2 linked regions of the Macaca mulatta genome follow. The protein of the gene in region 2 interacts with the protein of the main gene of each other region in a biochemical or structural test. Links are inferred from orthologs where the notes say so. Each region holds a gene or a part of one and is shown on either strand. Other genes may lie near its edges. The genes, in order: MBD1 and ATF7IP.

Region 1 (3,751 bases), on a different chromosome or scaffold from region 2:
AAAATCGGCGGCGATTCGGGGCCGCCCGCTGGGGATTCCCAAGGTTGTGCAGCCCAAAGGGCCTGGTCACAATTTCTGAGGCGATGGGGTAAACCGACCCTTGGCGACACCCGGCTGCACTCGAACGTCCTAGGTCGTCGAGCCCCGCCCTCACCCTGGACGTGCTCCGAAATTTAACCCTGGGTCGGTTTTGCCTGTTTTACCGCTATTTGAAGAGGGGCACTCAGCTTCCCTCTGGCCCTAGCCCAGGTACTGGGGTTTGCGCCGGACGGATGCCACGCCCCAGGGCGGCCAGGCCACTGGTGATGGGTGACGGGCGGTGCCTCCAGGGTCCCAGTGGTTCCCCGACCGGGAACTACGGGCTTTCTCGCCTCGGCGCCCCCTGGCGGGCCCACCAGCAGGTTGACGGTGTCCGGCCAGTGCTGAGCACCGAGAGCCTCAGCCTTCAGTGAACCCCCCCCCCCGCCCCGGCGGCCTAGGGAAGTGAATCTCAGGGTCCTTGGAAAGAAGTGACCTTGATCTTCCCACCCACTATCCCAGTTTCTCAGAGGCAGTCAACACTGTTCCCACCAAACCACTCCCAAAAGAAACACTGAGCATGTAAGTGGGACAATAAAAATTTAAAAATAATTTTAAAATAGAACAGCTTAGAGATAGAAACTAAATTATTTCCAATTCCTACTGTGCCCCAAACAAGGTTCACAAAAGGGCTGTCCTCCCAATAATTTTCTGAATTCTATATATTCAGCATTAAATTCCATGATAAAGTTGGAAATCCATTCACCATTTGTAATACATATTGATGCATTTAATAAAATTGCATGAGCCGTATCTTTTGCATTTCTGTATCCTAGTATTAAGTATAGTGCCTACCACAGGCCTGGTTCTCAATACTTGAATGACACAAAAATAGCCAGGACCAGCAAGTTTTTTCTGGGTGGGCTTCATAGAATCTCTGCACTTGCTGGAATCACCATGAAATTCATGGTCTTCAGCTTTGCATTTTCAGCAACATGGTTATATTGAGTTATCCTCAGGTGAGTAGTGAGACCCTTGGGAGCGGATTCATGGTAGGGCGGCTTTGTAATGTGTCACCTTGGTGAGGCTGTTTCCCAGAACTCTCTTCCAGTAAGATGGGCCACAAGAGACATTTTGCTTGATAACTGGAGGGCAGAAGTGAAGCAGCAGCATATTGTTTTTACACTTGGAAGGCTGGTGCTGGGGCACCAGGCGCTGTTGCAGTTCACACATTGTCATGTATCTGCTGGATCACCTCGTTGGTGTGGGCAGCAGCCAGGCCTGCAGCTGCTCCACCTTCCCCAGGATCATCTCTTCAGCTTCTCTAATTCCTGGGCCAGATGCATATTTAACTCTGTGAGGAAGGGCACCAGCTTCTTCTGCAGGACACCCACATCATCGAAGCTGGAGGTGGTGAGAGACTGACATGGGTTCCAGGCCATCCTCGTGGGTTCCAGCTCGTGCTCGTGGGCTCCACTGTGTCCTCGGTCTCCCACACTTTACATCCATCTTCCCTTCCCGAGTGCCTGCCCTGCAGACTTCAAGCTCCAGCATTAGATGCAAAGATAACAGCCTTACAGAGACTGTTTAACCAGCTCCCACAATGGCATGCAGTCAGATCTCTATAATAAATCCCTTAAAGTACATATATACATAATCTTTATCTTAGTGGTTCTGCTCTTCTGATTGTACCCTAACATACATGGTAGGCAGAAGCTTAACTCATGAGTCTAAATGTCAATCAAATAAATTTCATATAGTTCATTGTCAAAATTACCAGAATACTGGGGTTGGGTGGTTGGTTCCTGGGGGAAACAAAGCAGTATCAGTCTATCCAGTCTTGACTAGGGCTGAACTAGTTAGGGTGGAATAAAGGAAGGGGTGGCGAAGGTGGCAGAGGCTGGACTGTATGATAGAACTGGGAAATGGCTCATCCATGTCTGAATTACTTAAAGCTGCAGGGCTGGGACTAGGGTAAGGCAAGGGAGGCACGTAGGATACAAAGTTTAAGGAGGCACTCACTCAGTCCTGGCCCTGTAAAGCTGGCTAACAAATTACAGGTCTAATCTTTTTGGCACTTTATGAATGAAGAATTGGAAAGAGTGAGGTAGGGCTGAGCCAAGACTGGCCCTTGGGCAGGACTCGAAGCAGGAATTCAGCCTCCTAGAAGACATTTGGGCTGAGGGCAGGAGCCAAGCACAAAGGTCATCAGAGGGCAGGAGATGCACGTTGTCAGGAAAGATGAGCCAGGCTGGCAGCTTTAGTTACAAAGACTGCTCTAGCTGAAGAGGGGGAGTCAGGGTAACAAGCAAAATGGACAGCAGCCAGTGGGGAGATATATCCTGTAGGGTTTGAGGAATCCTATGCAGCACCTGGGGTCTGCAGGAAACCCAGTTTCTGTATGAACAGATGTTCTGACAAGGTGACCCCATCTACATCGAGTCTTGGCACTTTCTAAACCATGCTAGAGACAGGAATGTAAGGGATTTATTATAGTACTTATAGTAATCTGTGTTTTGAAGGTCACCAAAAACTCCTATTAGTGCATACAGGATTACAGGTTACAGTTTAGTGGCTTAAAGAACAAGGGCTTTAAAAGCTGGGTTTCATTCTAGGCTCTACTAACACCAGCTGTTCGACATTGGACAAATTAATGAGTCTGTTTTCCCATTCACAAAAATGGGCAAAATCAATGTCTTCCCAAAAAGATTATTCTAAGGATTAAATAAACTGGGTCCACAGAGGAACACACCAAATAGCAGTTCCTTTCCTTATTTATTCAATTACATTTTCAATTGCTGTCTCCCTGAGGAAGTATGTAGAGACACTGCCAGGTCTCATCCAGAAGCCACTTACAATTATTCATGAACATGGCTTGTTTAGGTTGTTTTGTGGTGGTTTTAATTATATTACCTTTCCCCATCCCAGCTCCCCCACCCTTAAAATCCAACTTCTTATACTCAGGCTCTTGGGGAGGAGAAGATGCACCAACTTTCTACTCTTTCTCTTCCTTTCCCGCTTACTTCTTCTAGAAGCTCAAAGTACTGTTAGGCCTGCTCCTCTGGTTTCGTGGTAGGTTTTTCCTCCTAGGGTTGATTCACACACAAGCCCTGGCAACCAATCTAGGGTCCAGCCCCTAGTAGATCAGTGTTGTCTCTCATAAAGCCAGTCTGCAAATATCACCTTGAATCCTACAGTCTGTAGAAGCCTCCAGTCTACTGCTTTCTAGCTCCAGGTTTTTTAAGGTCTTTGGACCTAGGGAAGAGGGAGCAGGTCTGTATGTTGAATGAGGTTTGCTATATGCGAAATGGAGCATTACAAAACCATTTCCTAGTATTCTGTGTCCTCCATCCACTTCCCCTTAATTATACCTTTATCTTTTTTTATATCTTCTAAAAACTACCATTACAGACAGCTTGTCCATAGTCAGATAATAAGCTCCCTGAAGGTAGGTATCTTGTGTCTCCTGACACAGGATATAAGCTTTGCAGGGCTCATTGTCCTCAATGCTGTGCACCCAGCAGGAACTCAATCAGGACTTCTGTAATTGGCCAAGCATAGATGAAAGGGTTTCCAGCCTGGTGGGCTAGTTTGTAGGAGCAAAGGAATCCACGTGCTTGGCCAATAGTTTACATTGCCAGTGTCTGGGGCTCTATGCAGGGTCTGTCAACATTCTATAGGAGTCAGCGTTCCCCTGCCCTCCCAACCATTCTAGTCCTTACAGGCATCTACC
Region 2 (3,823 bases):
AAATAAAAATAAATAAATAATAAATATAAAAATAAATAAAGTAATAGTAAACTCTGTCTAACACAAAAAACTTTTTAAAATGAAACTAAGTGTATTTTCACTTAATAGCAGCACAAAGAGCATTATTCTCTTACATTTTTTACGTATCTCTTTAATACTTTGAGACATTAAGACAGCTAAAGATAGCTGTATACTCATATCTGTATCTGCTTTTAGTCTGTTTTAAAATGTTGATTTGGTTGACGCATATGAAGGAAATCCAGTCTTATACAAATATATAGATGGAAAAGGGCTAGCCCTTACAGATAATTGTGGATATTCTTCTTTGATACTGTCCAGTAGTAGTTTCTTTAAGGTTGGTTGTGAAGTATAATCTGAAACCACACCAAAGAACTTTTCTAACTCCTCCATTAAAATCCATTTATTGGACCTGTGTGGTGCCTTACGCCTGTAATCCCCGCACTTTGGGAGGCCCGAGGCAGGTGGATCACTTGAACTCAGGAGTTCCAGGCCGGCCAGGGCAACATAGTGAAACTTGTCTCTACAAAAAATACAAAAAGTAGCCGGACATGGTGGTGCACACCTGTGGTCCCAGCTACTTGGGAGGCTGAGGTGGAAAGATGACATGAGCCCAGGAGGTGTAAGCCGCTGTGAGCCAAGATTGCGCCAGTGTACTCCATCCTGGGCGATAGAGGCAAACCCTGTCTTTAAAAAAAAAAAAAAAAAAAAAAAAAAAAAAAAATTCCTCTATCTTGTACTTGCACATGGAGTTTTACTAATATTCATTGATCATTTGAAAACTATTCACCAAGTTATGCAAATCTTCCAAATATTGACACATTTTGTTAATATTATTTTTAAAAATTACGTTTACTGATTTTACTATCAGTTCTACTCAGAGAAGCATTTTAAGGATTTAGGGAGCTGTCATGCTTTCAGTGACAGATAAAAGTTTTTTCTAATGTTCTTAGTTTTGCTTAAGAACTCAAATGTTATTATTACTGATAAATACAGTTGGGCTTTTTTTCTTTGAAGTGACTGCCTTACCTAGTTTATTTCTAAGAAAAGATCTTCAAAATACCCACATGTGAATCATTGGTGTGTCTATAGGTCATTCTTTCAAGTAAAAATAGTCTTTCGTGGGAAAGATTGCTAGTTTAGTTTATAGCTCAATTGCACACGCATTTTTCCTTAACTATCCTACTTTGGCAAGCAGTAGTTGTCTCGTATGTACTGCCTATTCCTTCACATGGAATATTAAGAAAAGAACCCCTATTCAAAAGTTGAGATATAATAAAGTTAATAGTTTTCACTGCTGTATCTTGGGGATTCTTAAGTAAAACTGACTTTGTTTTTTACTGTAAGCATGTGATGAAGAATGCAGCGACGTTTGGTCCATTGTACTACCTTGATTTTTGTACTAAGCATCAGAAGTTTTACTCACCATTGCTTTTGCTCCATTGGTGCAAATGTCTGCTCATTTAAAAAGTCAAATAATGTCTCATTGTTATGAAAATAGTTTTGACATTGCAAACTCCCCAAAAGGGTCTCAGAAAACCCCAGGCACCCCCCTGGACCACACTTCGAGAAACTGCTGCTCTAGTGAACCTGTGATTTTTGGAAAGACTATAAATCAGTGAGAAAGAAGTTTGGTCATGTATTTTAAACCTGTTCCAATGAGAATAAACACAAGTAGTTGAAAATTGCTATAAAACTGTAGTGACCAGCATTTGTCAGCATTTGTATTTTCTCTGTTCTTCTGTATATGCTACCTAATTTCTTCTTAATTCATCTGTCAACTTCACTCAGTGCTATTTTTCATATCATACAATGTCAGTAGGGTGTCAGTAGAGGGAACCTCCCCCTAATAGGTCCTCTCCCAAGGAATTCAGTCAAACTTGATCCAAAGATACAGACATGGTTCAAATAATAAAATATAATGAGTAAGCTTACCTGTTATTCATTAATGGTCATGACTCTTTAGATTTACTATTTGAGTTTAGGTATTACTTGCGTTTTAAGGCATTTATAATGTTTTTAATGTAGTTTCAAAAATATATATTTTTACTTAACTTTTTAGTATTTTTTATTTGTGTACTAGTTAGGTACTCTAAAGTGATTATAGTAATTTTCAGAGACCATTTTGATACTCAGTAGTCTTGCATATTAATCATCCATCATGTGCTGTTTTTGTAATATACTAAACCTACATACAAAATTCTTCTAAGAATTTAATTCTAAATTAAATTTCGGAATTTGAATCTGGAAAAAATTTCATGATAAAAGACTTTGCAGTCTTTGCGATGTATTTAATCTATGCTAAGTCTAATGCAATGTATTTAATTTGTATCTGTCATATTTTCTTAGTTGATAAATTAATATAACCATTTAAACAGAGAATTCTGTTTTCTTTCTATAGTATCTTCAACCAATCTTGTCACTCCTCCAACAGTTGTCAGTAGTCAACCTAAATTGCAGACTCCAGTGACTTCGGGTTCCCTCACAGCAACGTCAGTTCTTCCTGCACCCAATACAGCTACTGTAGTTGCTACTACTCAGGTGCCTAGTGGAAATCCTCAACCTACAATCTCTTTACAACCTTTGCCAGTGATTTTGCATGTACCTGTTGCAGTATCCTCCCAGCCTCAGCTTCTACAGAGCCATCCAGGGACTTTGGTGACTAATCAACCATCTGGCAACGTTGAATTCATTTCTGTGCAAAGCCCACCTACAGTGAGTGGTCTTACCAAAAATCCAGTATCCTTGCCATCCTTGCCAAATCCCACTAAACCAAACAACGTTCCTTCTGTGCCCAGTTCTAGTATTCAAAGGAACCCTACTGCCAGTGCTGCACCATTGGGAACAACACTTGCGGTGCAGGCTGTTCCAACGGCACACTCTATTGTACAAGCCACAAGGACTTCTTTGCCCACAGTGGGCCCATCAGGACTCTATAGTCCATCAAATAATCGAGGTCCTATACAGATGAAAATTCCAATTTCTGCATTTAGTACTTCGTCTCCTGCAGAACAGAACAGCAATACCACCCCAAGAATTGGTAAGTCACCATGTAGGTTTAATGCTAGAAATGCAAGCATGTTAATAGCCTTGTAACGATTGAACTTTTTTTTTCTAAGTGGCTAGCATTATTGGAAGGACAAAATAAATAGAATTTTCTTGATTATTTTTAGTAATTTTTTAGATACCTGAGAAGAAATGATGTTGCTAAAATGGGGCTTGAGAGGGGGTTTATTTTGAATTAGAAGTTAGTATCTGTGTTTTATCTTTTAGTAATTTTCCTAAGTTTGGTGAATTTTGAATTTATGGCTTTGTGGCAAGCATTATGAGTTACTTTTATGATACATTTGCCAGCAATGTCTGTTTAAAACATTTTAAAGTATCAAATTTACATAATATATGCTCTTAAGAAAAAAAGGCACGTTTATGTTCCTTACACATTTGGAAAATCCTTTGTGCTCTCATTCATAGCTTCCAAATTTGAACAACTTAAAAATAGATTTTCTTTCACATTTACTATAAAATGTTTGAGTCCTTCTTGTTTTATCCTTTCTGTTTTCCCATATGACATATTATATGATTGTTTGTATTTTACTTAGAAATACTGCAAAAAGGAGAACTTGACTATACCTGTTTAAAATCTGCCAAACTCTGTGTCTTCCTGGCTCCTGGAAAGAGTTTGTGTTGTATGCATTCTTGAGCTTGCTTATTCTTCATTTCTGACTTCACATGTATCCGCACTACTTTTGGAAAGGCAGGGAAGGGTAGGCATCATGTGTATAGTAAAATTGCTAGTGTTTTTCTT

What was found.
Region 1: the proteins of ATF7IP (region 2) and MBD1 form a complex in vitro, tested with the Homo sapiens proteins (2 studies listed by BioGRID). The link is inferred for Macaca mulatta from reciprocal best matches to the Homo sapiens genes ATF7IP and MBD1.

Annotation. Positions count from the first base shown.
Region 1 is NC_133423.1:42,033,921-42,037,671, reverse strand, and holds the end of MBD1 (methyl-CpG-binding domain protein 1), read right to left. Parts: intron 3,274-3,751; coding exon of another isoform or gene 3,234-3,273; exon of another isoform or gene 1,557-3,233; coding exon 1,367-1,556; 3' UTR 602-1,366; downstream 1-601. UniProt on the Homo sapiens protein: Transcriptional repressor that binds CpG islands in promoters where the DNA is methylated at position 5 of cytosine within CpG dinucleotides. Binding is abolished by the presence of 7-mG that is produced by DNA damage by methylmethanesulfonate (MMS).
Region 2 is NC_133416.1:16,905,760-16,909,582, forward strand, and holds part of ATF7IP (activating transcription factor 7-interacting protein 1), read left to right. Parts: intron 1-2,419; coding exon 2,420-3,058; intron 3,059-3,823. UniProt on the Homo sapiens protein: Recruiter that couples transcriptional factors to general transcription apparatus and thereby modulates transcription regulation and chromatin formation. Can both act as an activator or a repressor depending on the context.